4 linked regions of the Arabidopsis thaliana genome follow. The protein of the gene in region 2 interacts with the protein of the main gene of each other region in a pairwise test. Each region holds a gene or a part of one and is shown on either strand. Other genes may lie near its edges.

Region 1 (8,704 bases), on a different chromosome or scaffold from region 2:
CATGATGAGTAAATGGTCAATTTGATGACCATTTCAATCAGTGTTAAGGGCTAAGTTAGTAGGCTTTAGTAGCAACTAATCTTTTTTTGAATGCTCTTTTATGTCACGGAATAGGCTTGTTTTGGATGTAGAAAGCTTACGATGAAGTTCTCTAATTCCTTTGCTATCATCTTCATTCTTTAACATTATTCAACTCTTCTGCTATGTTATGATGGTACTCCTCATAATTGCGCAGAGGTTTATGTGTGTTTTTCTTTATGTTTATATGTTATCCGTGCATCACTTATTACCCCTAGTCTTAGCTTAATTTTAGAATTTGGTTATTCCATCTACATTTGATTCTTGTTGGTTGCCAAGCTGATATGTGGATGTGTCTTTCATATTCAATCATTTTAGTGTGTATATTCATTAGTCTTGGTGTCCACATTGAAGAGTCTTTACTTCATGATTCTGATTTGCTTGAGTTTAAATACCTTAGAGTATTTTATACGGTATTTGTGTGGTAAATCTGAATGAGTGTTTCCAATTCGACTTGTGCTAAAACACAGGTCTTCTAAAGATGTCCAGGATACACATAGTTTGGTAATGCACACATACTGTTCTGATGATTCTAGCTCACGCGTGCATCATTTAGGCCTACACAAAGCTCTCTGTGTATTGATGGGATGGAATTTCTCAAAGGCTCCTGATAATTCAAAGGCATACCAGAATCTACCTGCTGATGAGGCAGCAATCAACCAAGCCCAGCTAATTATTTGGCCACCTCATGTTATTGTTCAGAATACCAGTACAGGGAAGGGAAAAGAAGGGCGCATGGAAGGCTTTGGAAACAAAACAATGGATAACAGAATTAGAGGTATAACATGCGGCCTTTCACTCCTTATTCTTGCGTTTACATACCTGGGCAGAACCATCTGGAACAGTTCATGAATCTTGCATTGGTTAATCCGCACATTAGGATTCTCTTCTCTCTTTTCCTTTTTTCTTCCCTCCATATTAGAGATGTGCTTGGAAAGTACTAAAGCAGGTTATCTTAATCAATTGGATTTAGACCCAGAGCCTTAGAGATGATTCCCGTATACAATGGCCATAATGATGTCGCATGTCTTTGTTATCCCTGACTTTGTGCCACAATAATCATCTCCTTATCTTTTAGAAGAAAGGTCACGGTCCAAATCCCTCTCTTTGTTTTGCTATCACTAGAAGGATGGCCCAACAGGTGTTTTAAAGTAAGACTCTGGAAACTAACATGATTCAATTATCATCTGACATAGCTTCTCAGGAAAAACCTTCACTATACTTAGACCCCTGCCCGTTTCTCTCCCATGTTTCTCTGTGATTTTGTAAATTTAAAATTGCTATGACTTAGCATAGAATAATTTATAACTCTGGTTTGAGCTCTGATTTCAATACCTTACAATATCAGAATCTAGGCAACAGTGGTGGTCTAAGAAGTATATAAGCTTCTTTAACATAACTTTGTTGGGCCACCATCTTCTCTGGTCTTTTCTCTAGGAATCTCAGCTTCTATTTTTAGAACTTGTGGTTAGGCTAATGATGGGTGTGCAAGTACATGTATCTAGTTATTAGCCTATATCGTGTAACAACACTCAATGACACATTTTGTCTGCCTTCATTTTGATTTCTATATATAATTACAGAACTAGGACTCACTGGTGGGAAATCGAAGTCGTTGTATGGAAGAGAGGGTCATTTGGGAATTACCCTGTTCAAGTTTGCTGGAGACGATTCAGGGCTCAGGGATGCTATGAGAATGGCAGAATATTTTGAGAAGATAAACCGTGGGCGTAAGAGTTGGGGGAGGGTACAGCCACTCACTCCAAGCAAAGATGATGAGAAAAACCCTGGTCTTGTCGAGGTTGATGGGAGGACGGGAGAGAAAAAGAGGATCTTTTATGGTTATCTCGCGACTGTAACGGACTTGGACAAAGTCGATGTGGAGACAAAGAAGAAAACCACAATCGAGAGCCTTAGAGAACTCACAAGAACAAAGTAAATTACAGTTTTCTTCTCCCACGAAAGGTACACTTAACTTTCGAGGTATTTGTTGCCTATTGAATCTGGATTCTTAGTCGCAACCTAAAAAACTCGAAAGGAGGAACGAAAGTTTTTTTTTTTTTTTTTTTAATTTATAGATGAAGTCTTGGTCTCTTTGATCCTTCGATTCAGTGTTCATATTGCATAGTCTAATATCGGTTGAACCTGATATATACAAGTTCTCTTTACCAACATCCTTAGAAGTATATTGTGATAGTTGCTTGATGCTTTTGATGTCCCTGTTGATTCTCCTACGTTCGTTTCTTCTTTCCTTGTTCTATCTCATCCTTTCGAATAGTGGTTCCTGCTTGTTCTTTAGGCTTTAGCCAGCCTATGGAAATGAGAATATTGAACCAACCAAACAATGTTGCCATAGTGCCATTGTATTGATGATGTCTATGACATTGAGTTATTGTTTTTGTTTGCACTCTGGTAGTAGCTTTATGTATTTGGTCACCTTAGATTGGTGACAACAATGGTGGTGTTTAGTTTAAGCTAGCTATCTTCTTTGAATAAAAAAAAATAAAAAAAAAATTATAAATTGGTATGAAAACAAAAATAAACATTAGATAAGAGGACTTGTATTTTGTGGGGGCTTTTGGTAACCACTATATAAATTTTGTTTTGTCTTTGTTTATAACTCTTTAATTGACAAGTTAGGTATAAAGTGTTTTGACGATTTTTTCCCCTCTACTTTCTTGTGTTCTGATAAACTTTATTACATGTCTTCATTCAAATCTTTGGTTCGCTCTGGCTTACCAATTTACACGTTTTGTTAAAGGAAGTTTGATCAGCTTCGGTTTAGGCCGTGTGATTAAGAATTTAAGATAAACCTTAACACTTATGAAAGTAATCAAGCACTATCCGGTAGTGAAAGTTAATATAACATATAGGATTATAGTTTGGCCAATATCATAACAACTAGGATATAATTTTATGAATGTACAATATGCAGGACAAAGTACTTTGTATCTTTTGATAGAGTTACATGCACTATAAGAGAATTAAACATATTAGAAAAAAGACTAGATTATGTAAAATGTCATAATCATATTACTATAAGACTAGCTAGACTGAGGTCAAATCAATGCATAAATTTAAATCATTATCTCTTTTGAATTCGATTATCTCCCTCACATTTTTCAAATTTCTCTACTCACTTTTTCTATAAAGCGGAAACAGTAATCGGCGGTTCATATGTAGTCGGCCATTACGGACCCATTTAATTAGATAAATTATTCTTAGCCGTCAGTTTCATATTTCGTCTCATTCTAATTTTGTAATGTTTCTCTAACCTTTTTGTAACTATAAAATCATACTCTAATAGCAAGAGGTCTAAAAGAGTAATGGATATTTCCCCTCAATAATGTGTTATATGTCACTGTCCCGTTTTAACATTTTGTACATATCAACAGAAAAAAGTTTTTATGATATATCCATTCCACTGATGTCAAAAAAGCAATAGCTTTAATAAAACCAAATTCAAAATTTCGTTTTTATTCTATTCTTCTGTTTTGATATCACAAAGATATTAAAAACATAGTACGAAGATTAGTTTTATATGTGTACTAATGAATCTTCTTTGTGGTTGCTTCATTATCACGTTTTAACATTTGTCACGCGTGCCCTGATTTCATTACAGCCTTTTCTACAAAACACATGCATTGTTCTTCTTCTTACATTACTACATTACACTACACAAAGAATTTCATATTAATTATAACAACATTTTTTTTTTTTTGCTATACTATATAGTTTTTTGTTATTCAATTGGTATTTTACCGGCAATGCTTCACTGGTTTCCGACTCAACGCATGTGGTGGTCAGTGGGCTTGGCCCACTTATCTCTTTCACCTTTTTTTTTCTTTATACGAAAAATTAAAGCAAAGCTATAGTAATAGTACTTATTATTATTACCACGTCATCACCCAACTCTCTTATACTACGCATATCACGCTAAGCTACGCGTCGACGGCGCAATATAGAAGAATATGTAATAATCGCGCCTTTAATCAGACTCCACTGAGACGTGTCGCTATTTCGAGTTGTCCACGTCACTGTTTCTTTTGTCTCTTATCTTCTTCTTCGTCTCTTTACTTTTTTCCCATTTCTAGGGTTTCTTCAATTTCACTCTCTCTCTTGAGTTTATTCTTCTCTGCTGTATCAATCAAATCAACGGAGTTTGAGTTTCTTTTCCGATTCCGGCGATGGGGTCAGTCCCCGATCCAGGCGAGTTAACTGAGTTAGCTCAGCCGAGTTTCGAGGAGTTTCAGAAACAGACGTCGTTGATGACTAGCTGTACTCTTCTATGGCAAGAGCTCTCCGATCACTTCACTTCTCTAGAGCAGAATCTGATGAAGAAATCTGAAGCGTTGAAGCAGATGATTGAAACTCTAGATAACCAGACTCAGACCTCGCTCGAGTCTCTGAAGCGTAGAGAGGTAACAATCGACCATAGCGTTGAGATCGTAGCTGGGAAAGTAGGTGAACGAGCTAGAGCTGCTCTTGAATCGTTAGAGAAAGCTAGAGATGGTTGTGGTGATGGTTCTAATGATGATTCCGGTGATGTTGACGATGAAGAAGGTCTTCTTTCTGCTTTGAAATCTCTTTGTCTTAAAATGGATGCGAGAGGTTTTTGGAACTTTGTGACGGCGAGGAAGAAGGAGTTGGAGAATCTCCGGTCAAAGATTCCGGCGGCGTTGGTTGATTGTGTAGATCCGGCGATGTTAGTGCTTGAAGCGATATCTGAGGTTTTTCCGGTGGATACAAGAGGAGATAAAGTTAGCAATGATTATGGATGGGCTTGTGTTGTGATTCTTGAGAGTTTAACACCTGTAATTGTTGATCCAGTGATTGGGAAATCGAGGTTGCTTGTTACTCCGAGTGTTAAGGAGAAAGCTAAGGAGATTGCTGAGACGTGGAAGAAGAGTTTGGAAGAGAGAGGAAGGATAGAGAATGTGAAGACTCCTGATGTTCATACGTTTTTGCAGCATCTTGTTACATTTGGAATTGTTAAAAGTGAAGATCTTGCTTTGTATAGAAAGCTTGTTGTTGGATCTGCGTGGCGTAAACAGATGCCTAAGCTTGCGGTTTCTGTTGGTTTGGGTGATCAAATGCCTGGTAATCCTCTTAAGCTCTTATCTTCTACCTATTAGTTTTTTATCCTGGCATGCTCATTGTAACTTGTGAGATCATATATGGTTTTGAAATTGGCTAGTTTACTAATAGTTTAACCCATCTAGATGTATAGTTTTGGTAGGTTACAAATAGTTTACGAGTTGATTAGTCGAATATTAAGTTTGTGTGGCAAACATTGTATGGCATAGATTGTGGTGAAGTCTGAGACATTAGTGGTACAAGGTGTTATTGACCACAGACTGTGTGAAGTTGAAGCCTTTTTCTCTGTATCTCGTTTTATAATATCTGAACTTACAAGTTGTTGCGCTGTCCACAGACATGATTGAAGAATTAATCAGCAGGGGACAACAGCTTGATGCTGTTCATTTTACTTATGAAGTTGGGCTTGTGGATAAGTTCCCTCCTGTTCCTTTGCTCAAAGCTTATCTAAGGGACGCAAAGAAGTCAGCAGCTTCTATCATGGAGGACTCTAGCAATACTGGCCGAGCTACGGTATCTACTCATTGCATCTACTCATTTCTATCGCAGCTAAATATTTTTATCTGTGCGTCCCTGAAAGTTAATATCTTCCTTGTTATGTTTTCTTCCTAAGCATCTCGTGGCGCGCAAGGAGCAATCAGCACTTAAGGCGGTTTTAAAATGCATAGAAGAGTACAAACTCGAGGAAGAGTTCCCTCCAGAGAACCTCAAGAAACGGTTGGATCAGCTAGAGAAGACCAAAACCGAGAAGAGAAAGCCAGCAGCTGTTCCTGCCAACAAAAGAACCCGAGCCAGCTACAACGGTCCAATGCCACCAGCCAAAGCCGGGCGTATCACAAACGCATACGTCTCTTCCTTCCCGTTCATCAGATCACCCTCTCACTCTCCTCAATACGCTTCACCAGCAGCTTACCCATCCCCACCTACAACAGTCTACAGCAACAGAAGCCCACCTTATCCATACTCTCCGGAGATCATCCCAGGCTCATACCAAGGCTCTCCTATCGGTTACCCAGCGTACAACGGTTATTGTAATGGTCCAGTTCCTGCTCCAGCTCCTCCAGTTTACCACCCACACCATCATCAACACCACCAATTCCACCATCAGCAACATTACTACTGAATTAGAAGACAGTGTGACAACAAAACAAGGAAGAAGATTGGTAATAACCAACAAATCACTGATACTGTGACAACTGCTACTACTCTGGTGTTCTCTCTCTCTGGGTCTATTGTCTTCCTACGTCGTCGTTTTTGTCTGTAATATCTCTTTCTCAGCCTAACTCTCTTAGTAACTTAGCTTATATCCTCTGGTGTGTTTATTATTAATCGCATATAAAACAAAACTCAAGCTTTTGTAATGTCTAATATTCAGTCAACAAACTTATATTTCTGTACTCTGTTAATCGAATGACAAACTTCTCTTCGTCACCAACTATCTCCGATCAAATCTAACATCGGAGGTCGTTGCTTTGAAGACATACCCACCAGTTCTCTGTTGAATTGCATTTCTTCTTCATTGAGCAAAGTGGTGATTCAATTTCGGTACAAGACACAAAGCCAGTGGTGAGAAATTTCTCTTTACCAACCTTGCACACCAGATGTTCGACGATATGTCTCTTTGAAATCTTACCGTTTAGTTTTCACGTGCGTTTTCAGAATTGGTCTCTTTTCCTTCAATGGCTTTGATGGTTTTGAGAAGAAAGTGTCTCCGTTTGCCAGATTTTATCTCCGTTTTTCGACCTGCACCGCGTTGCTTCTCCTCGAGATTTTCCAACAGTGAAAGTGGTAAAGTTACAGTGACTGGTTTGAGTGGTTGTGGTATAGAAACTGTGGATGATGATGTTTGGCATGTTTCATCATCTTTATCCCAAGCTTGGAGACAGTTCCAAGCAGACACTGCAAAAAACTCTCCCGTTACAATACAAGGAGTAAGAGAAACAATACTCGATGATGAAGATCCCGATCACGATGAAATCGATAACATGAGAATTCGCGGTGATCTTTTCTTCAAGCTCGATCGAGGTTCAAAAGAATTCGAGGAATACAACTATGACTTCCACCGCAAGAATCAACACAAGAACGCTAAAAAGGAGCAAAACCAAGAAGAAGAAACAAAGATAAAGAAGGATAACAAGAAGGAAGTTCGTGACGAATACAAGAAGAGAAATGACTCTTTCACAGGTGAGACGGATCATCCTAATGAAGCTGTGAAGAAGAGAGAAAGAACATTTACGTTTAACCAACTCACGGCGCCATTTCACTACCCGTTTTGCTTAGACATATACATCTCGAAAGAGTCTGTACGAGCATGTGTGATTCACAGGGTGACTAGTAAGGTTGTAACTGTGGCTCATTCGATTTCAAAAGACATGAAATTCGATCTTGGTTCGAGAAGAAACGTTGCAGCTTGCGCTGCGGTTGGGGCAGTTCTTGCTCAAAGAAGTTTGGAAGATGACATACATGATGTTATATACACTCCTAGGAAAGGAGATAAAATTGAAGGTAAGCTTCAGGTCGTGCTTCAAGCTCTTATTGACAATGGTGTTAATGTTAAAGTGAAGCTTAAGCAGAGGAAACTTAAGAAGAAGACTAGTCATCTAATGATGGCCTAGAGGACTGAAATTTTCTAGTTTGTAATATGGGCCCAGAAGATATGTTTCTGTGTGGGGCCCAAAAAATGTTATCCGTTTCATTTCTACGTTTCTTGTCGGGTCAAAGTGTTGACTTTCTAACAATGATATCATCGTTTTCTTATACGTAACTTCTCTGCTCTTCCATAGCCGATCGACCTTTGTTCACAATTCCCACCGATTTTTATTTGCTAGATCGATATATTTTCAGGTATGATGATATATATATCATGGTTTGTTTATTCATCTGGAAAGTTTTTGATGCATCATGATCAGGACAAAGTTGGCGTGAAATGAAAAGTTTTAAATAAGTTTTTTTTTTTTGTTGTTGTTGTAAACCTATAATCAGATGATGAGATGATCCTATATTAATCGAATATTTTGATTAATTATACATGATATTTAACAATTGCATTCATCTTTTTTCTTTTGTGAAATCTAAGCAGTGAGCTTGAAACATGGCTTCAGTGGCTCCTAAAATCGCTAAAGATGTAACTGAAGTAAGTAACCTCCAAGATTATGTCTTTCTTCAACTATGTCTTGTCAGTAAATGTTTTTTTTTTAATTGATATTTTTTATTATTTGGGAGCAGCTAATAGGGAACACTCCATTAGTGTATCTAAACAAAGTAGCTAAAGATTGTGTTGGTCATGTTGCTGCTAAGCTTGAGATGATGGAACCATGTTCTAGCGTCAAAGACAGGTGCTTCCGAAAAGTTTAAAAGCTCTGTTTTCTAGTTTCTCTGTTAGTGACAAAAGAAACAAATACTTGTACTTTGTTCTTTTTTGTTGCAGGATTGGTTATAGTATGATTGCTGATGCAGAAGCTAAAGGACTTATTAAACCGGGAGAGGTCTGTTTTTTTTTTTAAATGGAAGCTATTAGTCAGATTCTTCA
Region 2 (7,899 bases):
GGTCAATTTTATTTTATTTTATTTTGTTAACTACGTAAGAAATGTGAAAGATTGAGAGTTACATGATGATAATGTGGATGTGATAAAAACAACACGTTGACATGTCGATTACTATATGAGAAAATTAAATGTTGGTTGTTTCATGTCCTTTTCTGCCTTGGGCTTTGCCTCTCTCTCTCGAATCCGATTTTTCATTTTTTTCATATTAATTGTGAAAATAATATAAGAAACACAAAAGCCGAAAAAAAAGACCAAGCCAATATTTCATAATGAAATAATAAATATGAATCGTAGTGATAAATAGGATACTATATTTATTTGGATATGACCCGTTGCAAGTGGACCCAAATAATATCCCAAAATTTCAGAAACGATATTAATCATTGAGAAAATTAAATTATTATAGCAATAAAATATAGGATAAAATTTGGATTTTCTTAAAAGAGTTTTTAGAGATTAGGCTAAAAAGTAATTAGGTTTAGATCTATGTTAGTCCTTTATGTAATACGAGAATATAAGAGGCCCATTTAAAGCCCAATAATCAGTTTACTCGGGTTAAGGAAAATAAATATTACGAAAAAGGAGCGAACAATTCCACCATCACGAATCGCGATTTTTTTTTGAGATTACGGAAGCTTCGCTTGATTTGGGATTTTTAGGGTTTTCTTTCTCCGAAGACGACTCCGAGAGACCAACAGTGATTTGACAATGACGCTACCTCCAGGTCTTTACTCCGGCACCAGCTCTCTTGCTCTGGTAATTCATCTCTCTAATCGGATTCTCGATCTGTAGCACAGATTCGTTTTTTTTCTTTTGTAAAGAGTTTGTGTGATTCAACGAGTCTATTGCTTCAATGATCAGGTGGCTCGTGCTTCGGCTTTTGGGTTGGGTCTCGTCTATGGGAACATGAAGCTCAAGGTCCTTAAGGTCATATTCTATCTCAATTTTGTCTTGTTTTTATCGAAATTGTTGATTATATTGCTCGTATCTGCTATGAATCTGCAATAATATTGATTAATGAATTGTTTTCATCATCTGGTGATTGTAACATTTGAATTGTTGGTGACATGTTATCTCGAAATTGGTGGCTACACAAATTTTATCATCAGAAAATTTATGATTTTGATCGTAGTTAAGAGTGAGATAGCAAATTTTTGTTTGAATTTACAGTGCTCTCGAGCTATAGATGTGAATTGCAGAATGCTGCTTTACTCCTTCTGTTAGTTTGTTGTTTCTGCTAGTCCACTGATTATGCCTGAGTTTTGATCTTATAATCCCTTTTAGATTATCATATGCTACTTTTCTACAAGTCGTCAGCAATTTTTAAACGACTTTGTTGAAACACCACTTTGTGGTGTCTTTCTCTGGTTTTTGCTTCTGAAGTTACTAGCTTTTAAATGTTTTTGGTTGTTAGTCTCCTCTGTTCTCTTTGAGTAGCTGAGCCAGTGATGTGATGCCTTGAGCAAAATCTCTGGTTCATTCATCATGTTGCAAACTCTAAAAAGGTTTACATTGTTCAATCTTGTTGTTTGCTCATCCTGGTTCCTCCACTGATTATCTCTTTGCAAACCGGAAATGTTTTATAACTTAGATGTCTCTATACCTGAAATGTTCTTGAATATTAGTAGTATATGCTAAGATAAGTACCAACAAATTGCTTTTTCACCTGCAGATCAAATCGATGTCACAGAAGAAGGTTGAAGCCACCGCTCATCATTAAACCACTCTTCTTTCTTTACAATAAGATGCCAAAAGCTGGGGGTGATGTCTCCCCGGTTAGTTTGATTTCTTCTTTCATGATTCATCCTTTAGCATAAGAAGGAACAAATGTGTTTTTGAAAAGCATATTATACGGTTTTAAGACCTTTTTGGAGCCATAATTGCCATTGGCTTAAAACCCGAGTCAAGAACATCTTTCCATTTGTTGTCATCCAATAACACCGTTCACATTCACATACACCTCACCTCTTAACCAGATTATCTATAACACTAAGGACCTCAGTGTCCCGGTTTTGCGTTATATACTTCGTTTTGCAAGAGTCCTTATATTACTCTACTTGGTCCCATTGGACACAATCTAAGAAAGGGAGAAAAAAATTGGTCCTAAAAAGCATGTTCCAACTTCTTGTGTATCTGAGTTAATCAAAGAAAAATTGCTATTGTCGTTTCTGGTTTGTTGTCTGATTCAATCCAAGCAATCATGTAGTTTGAATTTGATTTCGGGATCTCTCTTACACTTTCCACCACGGCTTAAAAGTTCAAACAACTACCAATGTGTAAATTACCATTACTTCAGTGGCGACATATTCATTTGTCGACCTACGTTTTTGAATTATGTGGGTCTATGGATAATATGAAAAAAACTGAGCTTATTGTAGCCCAATGGGCAATATAAAAGTCAGCCCAAACGTAACACGCGTGGTTGTCGTCGAACTGCGAAATTCAAGTTTCTTACCATTCGCACAATGAGCGCGTCGATTTCGGCTTCAGTTTTGGACTTTTTGTGTTGAAGACTTTGAGCACTTAAAGGCTGACATTATTCAGGCTCTTGATAGTACCATATGAAGAAGTTGTCAACGTCCCGTTTGAGCTAAAGCAGTAGTTAAAGTCGTTCCTCACCTTTTCATTCCCTTCTTTTTTCTTCTTCCTACTATTAAAAACGAAACTACAGATGCCTAAATGTTGGAGGCATGAATAAATATGTTTAAATATATAAAAACAAACCCTGGTCACACACTTTAGCCAATAAGAATTTAGAGTCGTGACTATAACATCAACATTTAATTGTATAGTTTTTAGTGATAAGTACTGTTTAAAGTGATATAGTCTATGAATATAAGTGGATTTAATTCTGGATCCGCTTATAGTTATACGTAAAATATAAGGGAATCTCATTATATGGGAAGACGAATCTAATCTATTGGAATATAACGAATATTATTCAATAGTTTTTTTGGTTCTTTCTATTTTATTATAGGTGCATGCCCGTTCAAGCTCGTCAGAGGCTCATCTCAGGTTGACGATCTGGTTAAGAGCCACTTTAGATAAAGCTATTATAATTCTGTGATGTTATTTCATGGAACTTCATGGACATATTGTATATGCATATAATCACAACTTGCTGATTTTTTTAAAATTAACATAATCAAATGCCGAAGAAAAACGAACAGAATCACTTTGTTTAGATGAATTTTAATGATAATTGATTCGCTTGTGCCAATTTATGTCGTCCAGCTAACTTTTAATCTAACCTTTTTCTATTGGAGCATCTTAATATTTTATTATTGAAACAAAACATTATTCCACATAATTACATCCGCAAATTATTCACTACATTTACATAATTACTTCAAGTAACAATTTTACCACATTATTTCAATTAGTACTTAACCACCAATGCATATTTGTTCCGAATTTCTTGATCGATAAATATCCAAATTAACAAGTTAATGAAGAAAAAAAACGAAGAAGATCAATGGTCAATATTTAATCAGAAGCATCCACGTCCACTTCATCAGATTCTATCTCTCTCTCTCTGTAAGATTCCTTGCTCTCGCGCTTTTCTCTCTCTCTCTCGCGTTCGTTCTTATCCACGAGCTCTGCACCGTCGCAATCTCCGTCTTCTCCATTTAGATCCAACACAGAGCCTTTTCTACATGAAATTCGGCAAAGAGTTTCGTACTCACCTCGAAGAAACTTTACCAGAGTGGAGAGACAAGTTCCTTTGCTATAAACCTTTAAAAAAGCTTCTCAAATATTATCCTTATTACTCCGCCGATTTTGGACCCGCCAATTCCGATCACAACGATTCGCGTCCAGTATTTGCTGATACTACTAACATCTCTTCCGCCGCCGACGACGGCGGTGTGGTTCCCGGCGTCAGGCCATCGGAAGATCTCCAGGGTTCGTTTGTGAGGATACTTAACGATGAACTTGAGAAGTTTAACGATTTTTACGTTGATAAGGAAGAAGATTTCGTTATCAGATTACAGGTTTTTGCTTCCGAATTTATTCTAGCTTCAGGATTTTAGGTCAAGTTAGAACTTGGTTCATGTGATTACTGATTCAGAAGCTAAACAAGTTTCTAGAATTGAATCATTCCATAGGTTATCTTCGATTGGATGATTAATCTCGAATCCTAGAACAAAATTGCTAGTAGTTGAAACCGGAGGTAGTTCTAGTGATGATCTCTAATCAAATTGGATCTAGTTTCTCTGTGCTTCAAGTGAGTTTGTCTGTATTGATGTAATGATACAGTGGTTTATTTGCTCTGTGGTATATCACAATCGAGATCACATTGCTTAGATATTAGTATGGTTTATGAGCCTTGGTCATCTTCTTGCTCTGCTTGTTTATAGACATATGAAGCTCTAATTGATTAGTGTGTGTTCATCATTTTGCAAACAGGAGCTCAAGGAAAGAATCGAGCAAGTTAAAGAAAAGAATGGGGAATTTGCATCAGAAAGTGAGTTCAGCGAAGAAATGATGGATATTCGGAGAGACCTTGTTACCATTCATGGCGAGATGGTGCTCCTGAAAAACTACAGCTCCCTTAATTTTGCAGGTAATCATATATTTTAACTAGAAAACCAATTTTTGTAACACATTACTACTGTATGCTAAAAACATCTTCCATTCTAGGACTTGTCAAGATTTTGAAGAAGTACGATAAAAGAACAGGTGGACTTTTACGTTTGCCTTTCACACAGCTTGTTCTCCATCAACCCTTCTTTACTACAGAGCCACTTACTAGGTTAGTCCGTGAATGTGAGGCCAATCTTGAGCTTCTTTTTCCTTCAGAAGCGGAAGTTGTAGAGTCTTCTAGCGCAGTGCAAGCACACTCAAGCTCACATCAGCACAACTCCCCAAGAATCTCAGCTGAGACTTCCTCAACTCTCGGCAATGAAAATCTTGATATATATAAGAGTACACTCGCTGCAATGAGAGCTATAAGAGGGTTACAAAAGGCTAGCTCGACGTACAACCCTTTATCATTCTCATCGCTTCTTCAGAACGAGGATGATGAGACGGTAACAGCTGAAAACTCTCCAAACTCTGGGAACAAAGATGATTCAGAGAAGGAAGATACTGGACCTTCCCACTGATCAGAAGAGAATGATGCTCTTTTTGATCAAGATTTTGAGAATTTGCTTCTTGATTTCACCCTAACTTTTCATAAAATTAACACATTTTACTTTACTTCTTCACCTTTTGCAGGACACAACTTCTGTATGCATTTGAATTGTAGTACAGTCGTTTATAGATTTTCAATGAAATTTTCCTCCATTGTCTCAACCTTGTCTCATTTTGCAAATTTGTCATTCTCATATCTGTTCACCAATAATCGGAACAAGAACAAGAACCTCCCTTGAACTGATGAAATCTATTTCTGTCTCTGATGATGATTTCTCGGTCATAGACCTTTGAAACAATCTTCATAGCCGAATGACAATCTCGACATATCCTCAGATTCTTGAAGACAAGAAGAGGTGTACTCGGTTTTGTTTCCAGAAGCCCGAAACAGACAGCCAATTTCTCGCTGTGACAGCACAAAGCTTGCTCTTTTTCCTCCAAGTCACCCTCCGAATGTGAAACCAGGCCAGAGACATCAGGGACGTAGCCAGCTGATCTTATCCGTTCAATCACTTCATTCAACTTCAAGTAGATCTCTTTCGTTCTCGGATGTGATCTATCTCCTGAACTAAACCGATGTACTGAGTCATTAACATAAATGGAACTCAAACCAGGTATTTTTCTGATGCCTCGCTTTCTCAGACTTCCCCTTAACCCATCAGCAATGTCACTCCTTCCTTCTGCAACATACATGTTGGACATAAGTATTTGATACTCTGTGTTGCCTGGACTCATCTGAATAAGCTCTCTTTTAATTCGTTCGGCTATCTCCACCTTTCCATGGACACTGCACGAGCCTAGAAGCGAACCGAGGACAACTTCATTCGGAGGCACTGGCATTTCCCTCATCAAGATCTCTGCTTCTTCAATAAGACCAGCTCGGCCCAAAAGATCTACCATACATGCATAATGGTCAACCTTAGGTTCCAAACCATAGAACCGGAGGCTGTGGAAACATCGCCACCCTTCATCTACTATCCCCGAGTGGCTGCAAGCACTTAAGACAGCAGTGAAGGTTAAGTCATCTGGCTTCACCTCTCTTATCATCTGTGGGAACATGTCAATCACCATTCTACCTTTCCCGTGCATTGCTAACCCGCTGAACAAAGCATTCCATGTCACCACATTCCTCTTACGCATCAATCTGAAGACGTTCATGGAAGAATCTATGTTTCCGCATTTAGCATACATATCAACCAATGCCGTTCCCACCATCACATCATCATAACTTGCTTCCTCCCCCATCATCATTTCCTTCTTCAATGCATACACATGAACCCATCTTCCAACTACCAGATTTCCCGATTGAGCACAAGCCGATAGCATCGAGCAAAGAGTGACAAAGTTCAAACCATGCCCACATCTAAACACCATTTCTGCCAGAAGCTCCAATACTTCCCTTGTAAACCCAGCTCCCAAATACCCAGCAACCATAACCGTCCAAGCAACAGCATTTCTCTCAGGCATTTCGTGAAAAACCTCTCTTCCTCTCTCTAACCCCTCCCATTTCACAACCGTGTCCAAAACCACCGTCCATGAAACAACGCTCTTCTCCTCTAACTCCTCGAAAATACGTTTGACTTCACTCACAAGCCCACATTTCCCATACATATCCATCAAGGCATTACAAACCTTTACACTAGTCAAAACCCCCATCTTTACAGCAACCCCATGTCCTTGTTGAGCGAAACCCAAATCCTCCAGCTTGGCACACACGCCAAACAAACAAACTACAGAAACATCATCAATCTCTACTCTTTTCCTTCTCATTTCCACGAAGAGCTTCATCGAATTAACCAACAATCCATACCGAGAAAAAGAGGATAACAAAGTGGTCCAATCCACATTGTCTTTTTCTGAAAGAGGAATTTCGTCGAACAGTTTCTGGGCAGTAACCATTTCACCAGAGGAAGCATAAAACTGAAATAGCGCATTGCTAAGATACGACCTGGGAGCTTTCTTCAATCCAGAAGTGGTTAAAACGGCGTGCAATTCCTTGCCGGGACGGAGAAACGAACGGTGAGCGCAATGTCGGAGAAGGAGACGAACTTTTTGGTAGGATAAGCATTTCATAAGATTAAGCTCGTCCCTTTAGTCCTATAACTGATAGAATCTTAGAGCTATGGCGTTAGATCTCTGCCTTCGACGGTTCTAACTTCTCGTGAGTTCAATTTTCCCGGGAAACAAACAGAAAATCTGGGCTCTTAAATACACTTCACGCGCCTTGATGAGAAATTTAGAGCGCGTGGGATAATGTTTTTATCTTTTGTCCAGTACAACATAAGTGACATAATAAAAGTTTTGGTTTTGATCTGCAAGGATGCAATGATTCAAATAGAAACTAGATTACTCACAACTACATATTTTTGATTAGAGGACGTTTCTGGTGATGAAACCTGATGTCACTAACTATATCCACATTTGGTAAAGGTCGTTAACATCTAAATTATCACTGACAAAGACAAATAAATACCAAAACAATAAAAGTAAAATAGGTTTGTCCAGAGTCTTCATTTCATCAATCTACAATTCTCCACGTCCCCACCGATCAATCAACATCATCATTTTAGATTCGTTTAGGGGTCCATATTAAATTTACGCGTATTCTTAAAAACCCTCCCAAGCAAAATTCAAACATAAATACATACACGTATCTAAGTATTTTTCAAACATAATTTAATCCAATTTGGTAAGAAGATTTGACAGCTTTATGAAAAGGACATGTGGTGGTTGCTACAATACGAACAATCACAGATAAAATCACAT
Region 3 (7,489 bases), on a different chromosome or scaffold from region 2:
GACTTTTGTAAATTTTTGAAATCCCTTTAAAATCTATTGTAAATTACCCTTTTAAAATCCCTTGTAAATCTTATAAAACCCCTATAAAATCCCTTGTAAATCTTTTAAAACTCTTTTAAAATCCCTTGTAAATCTATTTCCCGCCAAAAAAAAAAAATTGGCGGGAAAAATATGTTTGAAAACAAATTTTGGCGGGAAATTTATTTTGGAATATTTTTGGCGAAAAAATATTAATTTTTCATTTTGTTAACCTAAAACAATTTCCAAATAAGGGTAAAATGGTCATTAAAAATTTAAAGAGGGTAGAAATAAAATTGGATAAAACAAAAGGGTAAAGTTGAAAAAGGGCATCATGAAAAGGGCATTAGAAAAAAAAATTCTTAAAGGGATAATAATTAATATATTAAACTATTAAGTTGATTAACTGATTTTTTTTGTGTTAATATATTATCAAAACAAAACTTGTTTTTTTTTTTTTTTTTTTTTCATCCAAAACAAAACTTGTTTTATTTATTGATTTTTGTAAATAACTGTTTTTCTTAGCTTTTATTACTTCTTATGTTGGATGTTCGTGTTTGGTCTGAGAATTACCTCCTTAAGCACAAGTTGTTCCTTTATAAATGAGCTCCATTTAGGCATAATGATGTGAACCCTTTAGTTTTTGTTGGTGTAGACTCAAATTAGAGAGAGGAGTCGCTGAGATTGATAAGCTAGCAAACAGAATCTTCCATATCGACAAGCTTGGGAATCAACCTGAATTGTGATAGAAGAGAGAAAACATTTTCTAGGAAACTAAATTGTCTCTTTTGAATTTGAAATACTTTATTTGGAGCTTGTTTGCTTAGCGCATATCTCGAATTTGATTATATCTCGCAAGATAATTATGTGACGTTTTTGAATTATGTAAACATCTCAATAAGTGATATAGGAAAATTTAACTTACAAACAGAAAAATAAGCGATTTTTTCAATACATTCTAATAGTTGAATACATTAATTAGAATTAGGAGGGATACAATAATAGATAACTACAATTCATTCGTCATGTTCTAAAAATAGAGAGCAATAAGTACGACGGACAGTACCGTCACTACTTGGCGTCATGGTAGATAGGTAGTGGATCTGCTAGATATATGAGAACGGAAAGAACCAGAAGCTATTAGAGGCGGGAGGAGATATGTGGGGATGATTTCAGTGCAATTCCACGACGCACCATTTCCACTTTCGTAACACCTAAACGACCGCTTCGGCCGTATAAAATCGCAAATGTTTGGTCTCAGTGTATTTTTCCAATTTCCAAATACATCAATTCAAATTATATAATATCTAGTGGCAATTATAAGTATATCATATATTTTCAAAATTAATTAAAAAGATTACTAAATTATGTTTGACTACAACTATTATAATAGTTAAAAACATAAACAAAAACAAAGAAACTATTTTAATAAAAAAATCAAGTAAACATTAAAACATAAGCAAAAAATAATGTTAAAGAAATTATTAATTATTAATTTACTAATAATTAATACCTCTATAAATTAATTGTTAGAGGTTTAACGTAATTTATAAGGAAAACTAAAGAAGACTTTAACCCATAAAGAAAAAAACAAAGACTGAATTGAAGGCCCATATTTAGAAGAAGAGAAAGAAGACCCAAATATGATATAAAATCCAGCCCATTTATATATTTTTATTTTGTTTCTGGAAGGAAAATAAGAAAATGGCAAAAACGAAATAATCTGAAAAAGTAAGGTCTTTTACCAAAAAGGATATTTTTTTTATAAACAGAGCATAAAGTTTTCACTTTTCTTCTGCTCCTTTCTCGTCTCTGTCTTCTTCGTCCTCATTCGTTTTAAAGCATCAAAATTTCATCAACCCAAAATAGATTAAAAAAATCTGTAGCTTTCGCATGTAAATCTCTCTTTGAAGGTTCCTAACTCGTTAATCGTAACTCACAGTGACTCGTTCGAGTCAAAGTCTCTGTCTTTAGCTCAAACCATGGCTAGTAACAACCCTCACGACAACCTTTCTGACCAAACTCCTTCTGATGATTTCTTCGAGCAAATCCTCGGCCTTCCTAACTTCTCAGCCTCTTCTGCCGCCGGTTTATCTGGAGTTGACGGAGGATTAGGTGGTGGAGCACCGCCTATGATGCTGCAGTTGGGTTCCGGAGAAGAAGGAAGTCACATGGGTGGCTTAGGAGGAAGTGGACCAACTGGGTTTCACAATCAGATGTTTCCTTTGGGGTTAAGTCTTGATCAAGGGAAAGGACCTGGGTTTCTTAGACCTGAAGGAGGACATGGAAGTGGGAAAAGATTCTCAGATGATGTTGTTGATAATCGATGTTCTTCTATGAAACCTGTAAGTTCTGTTCTTGCTTTGGTGTTTGATTATTAGAAATGGGAAGAAATCGAATTTGAGGGTTTTGAAGAGAACATTTTTGGTAACTTTTGTTTTAGTTTTTGATTTGTGGTAAGTAACTTTAACAAAGTTGATGATTTGCGTTATGTGCTTTATTTTGGCTCAGACTTGTTGAATCTAATCGATTTTGGTTTGTTTAGTAAACTAAGGTTAGCTCTTGTTACTCTATGAGCAACTTCTCACTAGTTCATGTAGCTGCGTGGCTTATCTTGCCTTCTAAGTTGGTCAAATGAGTAATCTTAAGGGTCTAACTTAAATTATTCTCTTACAACTAATGGAGTCAAATCCTTGTGCAAATGGTTTATTTTCGTTTGGTCTTATTTCTTCTGTGTGTTGTCTGGAAGGTTTTCCACGGGCAGCCTATGCAACAGCCACCTCCATCGGCCCCACATCAGCCTACTTCAATCCGTCCCAGGGTTCGAGCTAGGCGTGGTCAGGCTACTGATCCACATAGCATCGCTGAGCGGGTATATTTCAGATTCTCTTTTGTATTTCCCTGTGATATACTATGTTGGTGGCGAGTTGGTTGTAGTTGAAAATATGTTTCGGATATAAAAAAATGTTAACATTGTGTAATGATCTCTTGATTTTATGGAGGGATTACCTAAAAGTTTGTTTTACTTTACCACAGCTACGTAGAGAAAGAATAGCAGAACGGATCAGGGCGCTGCAGGAACTTGTACCTACTGTGAACAAGGTCTGTACCTTTCACCCTAACCCTCACCTGTATATAATTTCTCTAGAAAGTTTGACACTTTCTGTTTCTCCCGTCTTCGTGTGCAGACCGATAGAGCTGCTATGATCGATGAGATTGTCGATTATGTAAAGTTTCTCAGGCTCCAAGTCAAGGTATATTCTTCTCTCTTCTGCAGTTTTAAACTCGAACTCTCTTTCTTGTGAATTATCTTATTACTCCCTATGCAATATGTTTAATCTGTTTGTTCATAAGATTAGAGATCTAAAGATCATGTCTTTCAAATTCTCTGGATGGATTTTTGGTGTTAATTCTGGTCCCACCATTACCTACCCTTCAACCAAATTTCAATCTGATTAGATCAGTTATTTAATGTGGGAAAGAATAAACAAGTCCAAAATGCTTTTGTTTTCTTTGGCATTTAGTCTCTTTTCACTTTTTGTTTTGTCATAGGGAGCCTAATCACAGTTTATGATTATAATACCATATTCAACAATAATTACAATCATCATGTTCACATTATAATATAGTAATCTGGTAGATCATCAAATGCTTCTTATATCAAAATGCAGTCGGTTACTTAAAGCTCTCGCAAGCGAAAAAAGGAAGTCTCTTTACTTTATAAGATAATGGAGACACTAAAGAAACAGAATGCAATGATGGATTTCTGATAAGATAATACATCTTTTGTTTTAAAAATAGAAAATGTGTTTCTTGTGAAATCTTCCATGCTCATCTAAAAGTAAAAGCTTTTTTTATATATATAATTTTCATGGGGTGAAGCTTATCACTTTCAATGATATCTGTTTCTCTTTGTCAACTTTGGTAGGTTTTGAGCATGAGCCGACTTGGTGGAGCCGGTGCGGTTGCTCCACTTGTTACTGATATGCCTCTTTCATCATCAGTTGAGGTAAAAACTTTTTAAGAACAAAAAGTAAAAACTTTAGTAATGGGGTTTTGATTCAGATTTTGCTTAAAATGTCAATAGGATGAAACGGGTGAGGGTGGAAGGACTCCGCAACCAGCGTGGGAGAAATGGTCTAACGATGGGACTGAACGTCAAGTGGCTAAACTGATGGAAGAGAACGTTGGAGCCGCGATGCAGCTTCTTCAATCAAAGGCTCTTTGTATGATGCCAATCTCATTGGCAATGGCAATTTACCATTCTCAACCTCCGGATACATCTTCAGTGGTCAAGCCTGAGAACAATCCTCCACAGTAGGATTTCTGCAATAAAGAGTTTGTACAGCTAATCCAACTGTCCAACATGGGTTTTTCTTCTGCTCTAATGACTCTGGTTTCTTCTCTCCTCTCTCACCCACTTGAAAGGTAAAAAAGTGAAAAAGGCTTTGTAGATGGAATCAATGTAGGATTTGCAGTAGAGGGAAAAAAAATGTCAAAAAGCTCAATTGATCAAGTATTATTGTAATCATTGTACCTTTATTTTAGGTGGACTTTGATGAAAGCAACTTTTTGTTTTCAAGACTTTAGTGGGAGGTTGAGGAAGGAGCTTGAAGGGTGTTATTTATTAGTAGTAGTAGTAGTGGGAAGTTGTGGGACCTTGTTGAGTTGTGTTCAAATTGAAGAAAAAACAAGTATTTGTAATTTGTCACCCCTTGTATTATTATTTATTTTGTATGACTTTGGAGTAGTATAATTAATTATCAAATAATATTATTAGTTTGATCTAGTAACCATCCTTTGTTTGATAACACTAGAAACATAAAGCAAATATTTTAGGAGAAAGTACCATGAATTGTGCTTCTTTTTTTTAGTGGTACGTGTACAATTTTAACTTCCAAATCTCAAATGCTAAGATATATACACTTTGGACAGAACATGTATCAATTTAAACTTGCATGTTTACATTTTGCATTGATTAGTGAAGACAAAATACAACTTTTATTAATATTGTTAGTTTTGGAAAAATATAGCCAAAAAAAAAACTCATCGAAGAATTAAAGTTATTGATATGATTATTTCATGTGATTCATTAAATCATTCTGCCAAATTTATTTTTTGAGTAAAGTTTGGAAAATCTTGTGTCTTTTGAAGTAACAGATAAAAGTTTTGTTTTTATTACAATTTCACATGAATCTTAGAGTGAGATAATAATAAACGAAGATGATTTGGCAATTTGTTTAAAATGGGTCTAAATTCCAAAACCAAGAAGACTACAAAGAGTATGCAAACTCAATTTGATGCGGTACAGGCGTCAAACATACATCGCTATAGCCTTTGCGTTATTGAACCACATAAAACTGCGGCAAACAGAACTTAGCTTTAGCATGCATCAAGATCACGGAATTGTGGTGGCTTAGGCTCACCAAGCAGTGTCTTATTCCCTCCTTCTGGTCCACACTTGATCCTCTTCGGGTTCTGAGTTCCATGCTGAAAAACAAAGATTAACATTATAAGAAGTTGGATTTGGATTTTGGATTTGGATTTTGGCTTAGAGGCTACGTTCTCCAATTTGGAAAGTTAACCGAAACCAGATTGTTTTCCCCCACCGATGTAATGCAATAGTAAGAGAAGAACATCAGGAAAGTATCCAAATGCAATGGGTTGTTAATGTCTTACCGGTGGCTTTTCTCCTTTTCTCAGCTTTTCAACAATTTCTACGACTTTCTCAGGTGTAACATCTTCCTGTGTATTGTAGCATAAGACAGTGTAAGTATGATTTCACTCTTCCGACGTAACCCACATAAACAATAGGATAATGCAGGAGAAAAAGAAAAATTGTTCAACGAGATTTGACATACGAAATAGTTATATGTATATCCTTCTGATCCATTGGAATAGTCAGCCACAGTGATCATGGGTGCATTAACACAACATCCCTGTAACAAAACCAAACACATTAGATCTGCATTGAATCTTTTCATGTGAAAGTACTAATCTTGGTTATTGTTCTGCATGGATTAATGAATTGAGGTGACGCAAAATCCATACCATGCACTCCATCTCTCCAACAGAGAACAAACCATCCTTTGTGACCTCTGCACAAAAAACATTAAGACCAAAGATCGTTATGACTGATCATCACCTCCATATGATTTTGGTTATGAAAGGAAGCACATAGAGCTTTACCACCGCGTTTCACTCCCAAATGGTCTAGCAAAGCTGATTCGATGTCTCGTGAACCACGGATCATGCAAGGTGTTGTGCCACAAACTAGAAGGTGATACTTTCCAACCTGTAAGAGCAAAAGAAAAATGAGCCTGCAATGCGTCTTTCATTGAGTACAGTAGAGACTTGAGTTTAGGGGTAGAAAGTACTTCTTACCTTTGCTCTGTTGAACATTGAGTAAAATGTTGCAACCTCATAAACACGGATAGGGGCAACTTCTATAACTTTAGCAACCTGCAAAAGTTTGTTGCATTGTTATGACGGTAAAATCATATCAATGAATGTTGTATTCCAAAAAAGAACTTAAGAAGTACATAAAATTAAGTCTTAACAGAGAAAATCGAACAAAAAAATCTTAGAAGACATACCGCATTCATTGCTGAAACAGGGAGCCAGCCTCCATTCTGCTGTTGTGCAAGATCTAGGAGAGGAATAACTGCGGACTGCTTGTAATTGGATGGATAGTAAGAGAGAATCTCCTTAACCTACACATTTTGGACATAACAATTCAGTAAGTCTGGATGCATGCGGAAATCGATTTCACCGTTAATGCAAGATTACTGTAGCCAGAAATGAAAGATACAGTAAACTGGAACTAAATGCACAAGAAAGTATTAGGATTTAAACTACAATGAAACCGGTTTACTAATTTCTGGACAGTCTTTCTGCCACACTAGCAGATTCAAATCTGTTGGCCATTTGGGTCGTTCACTCTAAGTCTCTCCCTTAAATCAGTTCCAGAATAGCCGATTCTAAATATGTAACAACAAATAAGCAATCAAAAATATCAGAAAATCCCAGTCTTTGTCTTTTAATATCCTTTGGTAGAATGCTAACTAAGAGAACCATAATTCATAATCAGGAGACAGGGACTAGTTATAACTAGGGTCAAACAAAGGGCTAAAGATTAGGGAACGAGGGCTAAAGATTCCAACATTTTCACGAAAGAGTATAAATTAATTCCACCATTACGAACATGTCACACAATTCCCTAGATATTCTGTAAACATCACAAAAACGAATTCGAATCCGTACTGGATAAAAATCCCCAATGCGTTCACTAAAACTGTAAATTTTCGTCATTATCACATTAAGAAGCGATTTTATTCACTGACCTTAGATTGGTTAGCCTCTGAAAACTCCCATGGAAGATCGGGTTTGTTATCAGGAGAATCCAGATGCTATAAGTAATCAAAACAACAACAACAACAAAAATCAAATTACAATTAATTTCGGATAAAAT
Region 4 (8,204 bases), on a different chromosome or scaffold from region 2:
ACCATGCCTTTCATAAAACTTATCTTTATCAAACTTCACTAAAATTATCTGTATGTAAGAAATAGGTATCAAACATCAAAAACCCTATAGTTCTGTTCTGTTTTTGTTTATTCAATTCACTTTGCTTCAGACAGAAGAGTTTCAGTTTCAGACAAGGTAAAAAGCTAAAAAGCCTATTTCTTTCTGCACCTAATCATCTCACAAATCAATATCAACAAAGAAAATATGTATGTAAATCAACTGTCATGAGCTGATTATATACAGAAAGCTCCGGAATTTGATTACTAATTCAAGTTTCGAACTTTTTGATTCAAAGACACCGAACAGAACAAAGAGATGTTTGATACGGAATCAGAGAGAGAATAAGAAAACCTGATTTAGAATTGAAGAGAGAGGATGGTGCGAGAGCTAATCTCCCACAAATCGCAGTCTCCATTGTCGAGTGGATGCTTCTCAGTTCCCAAAAACACAGAGATAATCAGGACCGAACAATTTTAATCATAAGAATAAGGTTGAAAAATTCAGAAATTGGTGGTTTACGGAATTTTACGTTGCCTCCGATTCAAAACGCTACGTTTTAGCCTTAAAGGCTTAAACCTTTTTGTCTGATTGTCCCGGTTTACCGAACCAAAATTCGAACCTATAAATAAATAATCTATTTCTGGTTTAGTTGCTCTGGCCTCTGGGACCGATACGTTGAAGGTGGACCTACCGTTTTAGGGTTGTTTAACACTTGAACCGTCCGTAAGTCTTGTTAAGCTATAATTTGTTAGTCTTGGTTAGAACCGGTTCAATGTGTGTATGTATGATCTACGGTTTATACTTTTTTTTTTATTTTTAGTTGGTTTTGTCATTTCTATATATAAAAATGTAAATGTTCTTTACTTCTTTCTATTGTAATTTGTAAATGTTCGTTGTCTCGGTATCCTGCACAATCTAGCTTCAGTGACGATGTTTTAGAGAGGCTAAGGTTAGGTTGGTAACTGGAATAGAAACCGGAGCCTATTTTCTTAAACCATTTTCAACGGAAGTTTCTTAAATCCAGCCACTTTGTGAAATAAATCTTGGAGTTGAGATTTATTTACATTTGCTGCCACTGATATTTAATAATTGTTTTTGATAATTAGAAAGAAAATCTTCTAATTAAATATTTGACATTTAATAATCTTCCCAAAATCTTTCTACCTTAACTACACAATTAATTACTAAAATAAAACTTCCAAAATATTTAATATCATTTAATTACTACAAAATTATCATTTTTGATATTTTTGCTTTTCGGCATGACTATAACAATTCAATTATAATCATCAAACCGCAGAGATATTTGATAGCATTTAATTACCACAAAATTACAAAATATTTAGACAATAATTCATAAACATATCATAAATAAGATCAACATTAATAAAATAAATAGTTTTTTTACGGGACGGGTTGACGGGACGGGTTTGGCAGGATGTTATTTAATAACAATTGTAAACTATAAAATAAAAATATTTTATAGATAGATACAATTTGCAAACTTTTATGTATACTAACTTTAAAAAATAAATTATTTCTGCGGTGTACCGCGGGTTAAAATCTAGTGAGTTTTTAAAATAGAATCAAGTGTAAATATAGATAAATAATATATTTTAATGATGAGGTTCTTACATTTGAAGAAACTTAGTTCAATTGACTCTTAGTTAAGAAACAATTGGACTAAGTTTCTTCAAATTTAAGAAACCAAACTAATATTTAAACAATATAATATTTTTATTATATATCAAGAATTTTGTTTAGAAACTCCCATTGAAAAAACTCTTAACTTCCATGTTCTTGGTAGTTTCCCTTGGACTCAGAGTCATATGTTTTATTTTTGTGCATTGCCAATTGACAATTATTGCATTAACTGATTAACCGTCTCTTTTTAGCTCTAATTGACACTCTTAACTTTGTTGTTTAATTGTGGCTATGCAATAGCTATTATGAAGAGAACTCCAATACATGTGTTGGAGTCTTGGAGATCTTACTTGCATCTTCAAACATTCATAATACTACAACTTAGACATTGTTTGTTTTCTTTTCCCATGGAAACAAATTTTATCATGTGCTAATAATAAAGGTAAGAATTGATGGAGCCAATCTCGTTTAAATCTATATGTCCCACACCTCCCACATAAAGACCAAACATGTATTAGCTCCATCAGATTGAGACAACAAAGTTCTATGTGTAGATTTAGATGTTTTTTCTTAAAACAGATTTGATTAAGAACATGTGGAATGAATCTGATATTTGCCTATTATGATGATGATTAAAGCAATAAGCATGTTGTAACTTTCCATCTACAAGAAAACAGTTGATCATTTCAATCGACCTTCAAATAGTTTCATCAATCATACATAAGTAGACCCATAAAATAAAATTTTGATGATCCTAATGGTGATTATTGTGAATGAAATTAGTCCAAAATCTTGCTGTATCTAAAAAACACAAAAATACTATTATCATATTCATATGCATTAACTCATCCTATCAAGGAATCGAACCACCAAAGAACCGTTTGTTTTTCTTAAAAAGATAACGACGAAACCAATAAGATAAATGAATATGACAAAAGCAGAGAATCTGGTTGCATCAATTGAATATTTGGTCACGTGGGTACGCGCTCTATGCGCGTGAACATTTAGCAAATTGGCTCTTGAGGAATATGAAAGGTCGGATATGTAAATAATTAATACGCGGCGTGGGCAAATGTGATTCTCACACTTCCTTCCAAAAGATTCTTCTTTCTATTTTTTTTTTTTTTTTTCCTCCCCTAGAATATTCCTTCACCAAATTAGCTCATTTCCAATTCAAATTTTAATATTCGTTCTAAATATCTGTAAAAACGTAGTCGAGTGGTAGGTTACATAAATTGTGAATGATTAACGTTTGGAGTTGGAATTAAGATATCACTAATGATATGATTTATTGTCATTGAAAGTTTTAAACATAATTTTTCCTTATGAGATAGTAGTAGTATTTTAATTTATTTAATGAAACGCATATTTGTTAGGTGAACGTCAATTTTTATGATTTTTGGAAAAGACGCATAATAAAAACCAAATCTTTAAATTTGAAATTCTAAATCATAAAATCTCCATTTAATGAATAGATTTGCCCATATAGAAACACAGAAAATCATTTCTATTAGATGATAGTTAAGTTAAATGAAGGATAAAACAATCGTTGGAAAACAAAACTCTGGAATCTTAATTAGGGGAGAAGAAAAATGGTTGAGTTTTCGTTCTTATCTGAAAAAAAAAAGCTAAAGAGATTGGAATAGTGACGTCAGTTCCAGCCCATACAAAGAGATGCGAACCTATAATCGAATCTGATCCTCCGAATATTCACCCATCATCTTCACGATATTACTATTTTACCCTTCTCTTCCAAAAGAGAAAAAAACATTTTAACTCTCAAAGATTCGTTTTAGGTACGCGACGGCCCGACCTCGATTCTCTTCCACTTCTTTCTTGTTCCAAAAACCTAAACCCTCTCTCTCTCTCTCTCTCTCTCTATCTCTTGAAAAATCAACAAAACATTGGAATCAATTTCTCTATGTTTTGATTCTATTTTAAAGATCCAATATTCTTTCTCCATTGAGATTAAGCTTCTTTCTCGCTGTCGTCTCTCTATAGATCTTGGTTCTTAGTCCCTTTTGAATAATAATGATGGTGGAGATGGATTACGCTAAGAAAATGCAGAAATGTCATGAATACGTTGAAGCACTTGAAGAAGAACAGAAGAAAATCCAAGTCTTTCAACGCGAGCTTCCTTTATGTTTAGAGCTTGTCACTCAAGGTAATAATAATCCAATCAAAATCTCCAATTTTTAAACAAGTCTCTTACAAATCTTGATGGGGTTTTGTTATGTTTTGTTTCTGTATAGCGATCGAAGCTTGTCGGAAGGAGTTATCTGGTACGACGACAACTACATCAGAACAGTGTTCAGAACAGACCACAAGTGTTTGTGGTGGTCCTGTCTTTGAAGAGTTTATTCCTATCAAGAAAATTAGTTCCTTGTGTGAAGAAGTACAAGAAGAAGAAGAAGAAGATGGTGAACATGAATCTTCTCCAGAACTTGTGAATAATAAGAAATCAGATTGGCTTAGATCTGTTCAGCTATGGAATCATTCACCGGATCTAAATCCAAAAGAGGTATTTAAAGTTTTGAGCTTTTTAAAGGAGTTTTAGTTTTCGATTATGAGGAAATAATCATGTGTTAATTGAATTATAGGAGCGTGTAGCTAAGAAAGCGAAAGTGGTGGAGGTGAAACCAAAAAGCGGTGCGTTTCAGCCGTTTCAAAAGCGCGTTTTGGAGACTGATTTGCAACCGGCGGTGAAAGTAGCTAGTTCGATGCCAGCGACGACGACGAGTTCTACGACGGAAACTTGTGGTGGTAAAAGTGATTTGATTAAAGCTGGAGATGAGGAAAGACGGATAGAGCAGCAGCAATCGCAGTCGCATACGCATAGAAAACAAAGGCGGTGCTGGTCGCCGGAATTACACCGTCGATTCCTAAACGCGCTTCAGCAGCTTGGAGGATCTCATGGTAATTACGATTAATTTTAATTACCTGATTATCTTCTATCTGATTGGTTCATTAGTGATTCATAATCGGGTTGATAAAGAACTGTTTTTAAACATTAAAACGTCTCAACATTTACATTATATTAGTAAGTAACAAAGATTATTATCAACATTAAAAAATGATTTTTATTTGACATTTTATTTGCCAATCTTGCAGTTGCTACACCAAAGCAAATCAGGGATCACATGAAGGTTGATGGATTAACAAACGACGAAGTTAAAAGCCATTTACAGGTTAGTGATTAATGATTCTTATGTTATAATCACAAGTTCGTGAAATTGGTAATTAAATGAAATGTTACTCAAGTTCTTAACCATTTTTTGTGTAATATTTCAGAAATATAGACTTCACACAAGAAGGCCAGCAGCAACATCCGTGGCGGCACAAAGTACCGGGAATCAGCAACAACCACAATTTGTGGTGGTTGGAGGCATATGGGTACCATCGTCACAAGATTTTCCACCACCGTCCGATGTAGCCAACAAGGGTGGTGTATATGCTCCGGTTGCGGTGGCGCAATCTCCAAAACGTTCGTTGGAGAGAAGTTGCAACTCGCCGGCGGCATCTTCCTCTACAAATACAAATACTTCTACTCCTGTGTCATAATCTGATAGTCATACTATAATCATCTCCTGATGTTGATTTTGGTGTAGGTTTGAAAATGTTTATGTGAATGTAAGAAATATTTTCGTCCGTTTTTGTTTGTAACCAAGAAATGTTATTTCCTCGGTTGGAAATTTTGAATAAAGTAGACGAATGCTACTATGTAGTATATACACGAGATAAGTGAAGACTCTTTGTTTTTCTAACTTTGGATATTTACTAAAATATCTTCTTGTTTTTGGTGTCTAATTTAGACAGATCTTCGTGATGAATCTGATGGCAAAGGTTATAATTCATCACCTTCGTAAATAGTAAAATACAAAGGTAGATAAGAGAATCTAAGATGAATTGAGAATAACGTGCGTGAATGGTGATGTAGATATTTGGTGTGACAATTAGAAGTGATTTATTTATGGTAACGCTTGCTTAAAACAAAGGTCCATGAATCGACCAACTAACCATTCACAGAATTGAATACCAAATCTATCTTTTTGCATGGCAATTTATTAAAATAAATCTAACGTGGCCGCCTCTGAATCTTGCTTAATAGAATAGTAACCACTAACCATAATCAAATCATTAATTTAGATTTTTTATTTTTTGTCGGCCAATTTAGATTATAGTATCTTTTTTTTTTTCCTTCACATATCTTACGGTAATTGACTCGAACCGGAATTTCTTTAGAAAATTCAAAACCAGTTTAATAATCGGGTTCATGGAGAATAAAAAGGTCATGTTCTGATTTTTATAATAAGTCCTTGTTGACTAAGTCCTTGTTGAATAAGTCTTCCTAGATTATAGGAAAGTGGACGATTAAATTTGTATTATGTTTTGATTTTATATGTTATAGAATTTCAGGTCGATAAAAATTGTGACATTTGCATTGTGTCTAGGGTCTTTCGGGTTTTTTTTTTTTTTTTTTTTAACTTGATTTGTAGGGAGGATAATCTTGGGTCTATACAAGCAAGACGAATTCTTACGTAATTTTGTTTCTTTGTTTTGAATAAAACTGGATAAATCGTGACTAGGGGCTGGAGATCAATAAATCGTGACTTCCCTCCAACTGATACGGATTCTACAACTATTTGAATTTTATAAGGAATTTCAATAACTTGTTCACTTTTTAAATATACAATAGTTTTGTACAACTAGTAAAAAATATTCATATTTCCATTATAATCATTTATCATTCCATTCTGCTTTTTTTTTTGGGTTCTCAATTCTGCCATTCCACCATGTTTCTTATCGGAATCTAAATAATTAATGCATTAAGTAGTTGAAGATGATAAATTTATTTGTTTCCAACCATTTTGATGGTTAACTTAAAAAACATAAAATTTTAGGTTTGGTGGAAAAAAGAAAGGGACACTTGGCCTTACGACAAAGCGAAGGGTCACATGTTAATACAACAATTTCAGGATATTCGAATCTCTAATATTGGAATCCCTAATACATGGCTCACTCTCTTTGATTCAAACATAAACTGCACTCGTTTATTTAATCTTTGTTTGACAGCTAAAAAGATTTTTATTTTCGGGTTGATAAACCTATAACTCCTCCAACGGACAAAATTTACTAGATAGATCTATAACTTTTCGTGGGCTATATATAACTTCTCGTGGGCTTCGAGGCCCAAAAATGTTTAAAAGTGTTGAAAACCAAGACAAAAAAAAATGGAGTGAAAAAGATGAAATCCCTAAATTGAATCGCAAATCGCAATTTGAAAAAAAAAAGATCTCTCTCTGAAGAATCCGTCATGGCGTCGTCAAGCGATCCTTCAAAACCAGTAATGGAGAGGAAGAAGAAAGGAGCTCCGATCAAATTCTTAGTACCTCTCATCTACGCACCTGCGCTTCCTTTGATTCGGTTGTCTTTAAGGCATAAGCCAGTTCTAAGAGATCGTCTCTTCGGTCTTGTCCTCGTCGGTGCTTTTGCTCATGGCTTCTATCTTGTGTATCCTCTTTATGATTGCTTTGGTGCTTTCTTATGTGATTTAGTGAAACTTGCATTTATGTATTGTATATGGAATATGCATGTTTGGGTTTTAGGGGAATTATTTTGATTTGCAGTGAAGATTTGTGTTTTGATATTGTAGATTGTTAGTATGTACAGAGAGCTAGGAAGTATTTGCTGTTGAAATTGCGCATAGAGTTAAAGGTATGTGTAAGGAAGTGAATCCTGACTAGTTTCGTCAGTCATGTTGAGGATTTGTTAGGCATAGTTAAGCATATGGACTTAAGGCAGTTAATCTTGACTTGTATCATCTAATCACTGGAAGTCATATATGGTTATGTGGTTTGACAATTTACATTTCTAGAATTGAGACTATAAACCATCTATGTATACCAAACTGAGGAGTTGAAGAAAGTTTGCTTGTAGTTGTTGATTCAGGTAGTTTAGATTTCTATAAAAGTCATGTGCGGTGTAGAGATTTACTCATGATGGTTTTGCAGTAAATTGTAATAGTTTGGTAGCTTAGAGAACCTCAAGATTACTGTTGGTAGTGAGAGCAAATATTCAACATTTCAGCGATTGTTGTTAAGAATAGTTTGAGCTGATGATGTTTCCTAATGTTGTTAAGCTTCGATTTGACATAAGTAGAGTCTACTACTATGTGGATTTGGAGAGTAGGAACATTCATTTGCTACTCTGTGGAATATTTTGATAATCTCTATGGAATGTGTTATTTTGTTTTGATTGTTCCTTATAGATAAATCACAGAACGGATATATATGATGCAGAGAGCAAATGAAAAACTGGGAGTTGCAGTCAGTCAACAAGATCTCAATATTTTCTCAGATTGTCTTTCAGATAAATAATTTTTGCCTTTTGGGTTTAAACCTATTTGACACATGAACTATGGATTTTTCCTTATGAACCCATTTAGTCATCTTGTAATGTATCATCTTTTTTACATTTTTCAATCTCGTTCTTGATTTTTCCATGTCTTGAATGTGAAAACTAGAGTGGAGAGCAAAATT

What was found.
Region 1: the proteins of SPX4 (region 2) and AT3G22440 interact in a two-hybrid assay, tested with the Arabidopsis thaliana proteins (one large-scale study listed by BioGRID).
Region 3: the proteins of SPX4 (region 2) and UNE12 interact in a two-hybrid assay, tested with the Arabidopsis thaliana proteins (one large-scale study listed by BioGRID).
Region 4: the proteins of SPX4 (region 2) and AT1G68670 interact in a two-hybrid assay, tested with the Arabidopsis thaliana proteins (one large-scale study listed by BioGRID).

Annotation. Positions count from the first base shown.
Region 1 is NC_003074.8:7,955,589-7,964,292, forward strand, and holds AT3G22440 (FRIGIDA-like protein), read left to right. Parts: upstream 1-4,164; 5' UTR 4,165-4,265; coding exon 4,266-5,178; intron 5,179-5,512; coding exon 5,513-5,688; intron 5,689-5,788; coding exon 5,789-6,298; 3' UTR 6,299-6,783; downstream 6,784-8,704. Other genes in the region: AT3G22430 (RNA recognition motif XS domain protein), read left to right, coding at 549-856, 1,662-2,017; AT3G22436 (uncharacterized protein), read right to left, coding at 2,310-2,432; AT3G22450 (Ribosomal L18p/L5e family protein), read left to right, coding at 6,855-7,790; OASA2 (O-acetylserine (thiol) lyase (OAS-TL)), read left to right, coding at 8,616-8,660.
Region 2 is NC_003076.8:4,976,939-4,984,837, forward strand, and holds SPX4 (SPX domain-containing protein 4), read left to right. Parts: upstream 1-3,435; 5' UTR 3,436-3,449; coding exon 3,450-3,992; intron 3,993-4,407; coding exon 4,408-4,564; intron 4,565-4,641; coding exon 4,642-5,105; 3' UTR 5,106-5,293; downstream 5,294-7,899. Other genes in the region: AT5G15320 (ATP synthase E chain), read left to right, coding at 709-756, 862-927, 1,673-1,720; AT5G15340 (Pentatricopeptide repeat (PPR) superfamily protein), read right to left, coding at 5,335-7,206.
Region 3 is NC_003075.7:1,134,818-1,142,306, reverse strand, and holds UNE12 (basic helix-loop-helix (bHLH) DNA-binding superfamily protein), read left to right. Parts: upstream 1-1,766; 5' UTR 1,767-2,000; coding exon 2,001-2,363; intron 2,364-2,767; coding exon 2,768-2,890; intron 2,891-3,054; coding exon 3,055-3,120; intron 3,121-3,206; coding exon 3,207-3,272; intron 3,273-3,946; coding exon 3,947-4,027; intron 4,028-4,105; coding exon 4,106-4,339; 3' UTR 4,340-4,820; downstream 4,821-7,489. Other genes in the region: AT4G02580 (NADH-ubiquinone oxidoreductase 24 kDa subunit), read right to left, coding at 5,401-5,508, 5,698-5,763, 5,880-5,957, 6,070-6,116, 6,208-6,313, 6,403-6,480, 6,615-6,731, 7,362-7,427. UniProt on the Arabidopsis thaliana protein: Required for ovule fertilization.
Region 4 is NC_003070.9:25,778,648-25,786,851, forward strand, and holds AT1G68670 (myb-like transcription factor family protein), read left to right. Parts: upstream 1-3,153; 5' UTR 3,154-3,696; coding exon 3,697-3,829; intron 3,830-3,917; coding exon 3,918-4,186; intron 4,187-4,265; coding exon 4,266-4,581; intron 4,582-4,776; coding exon 4,777-4,853; intron 4,854-4,956; coding exon 4,957-5,226; 3' UTR 5,227-5,471; downstream 5,472-8,204. Other genes in the region: AT1G68660 (Ribosomal protein L12/ ATP-dependent Clp protease adaptor protein ClpS family protein), read right to left, coding at 373-436; AT1G68680 (SH3/FCH domain protein), read left to right, coding at 6,980-7,176, 7,945-7,975. UniProt on the Arabidopsis thaliana protein: Probable transcription factor involved in phosphate homeostasis.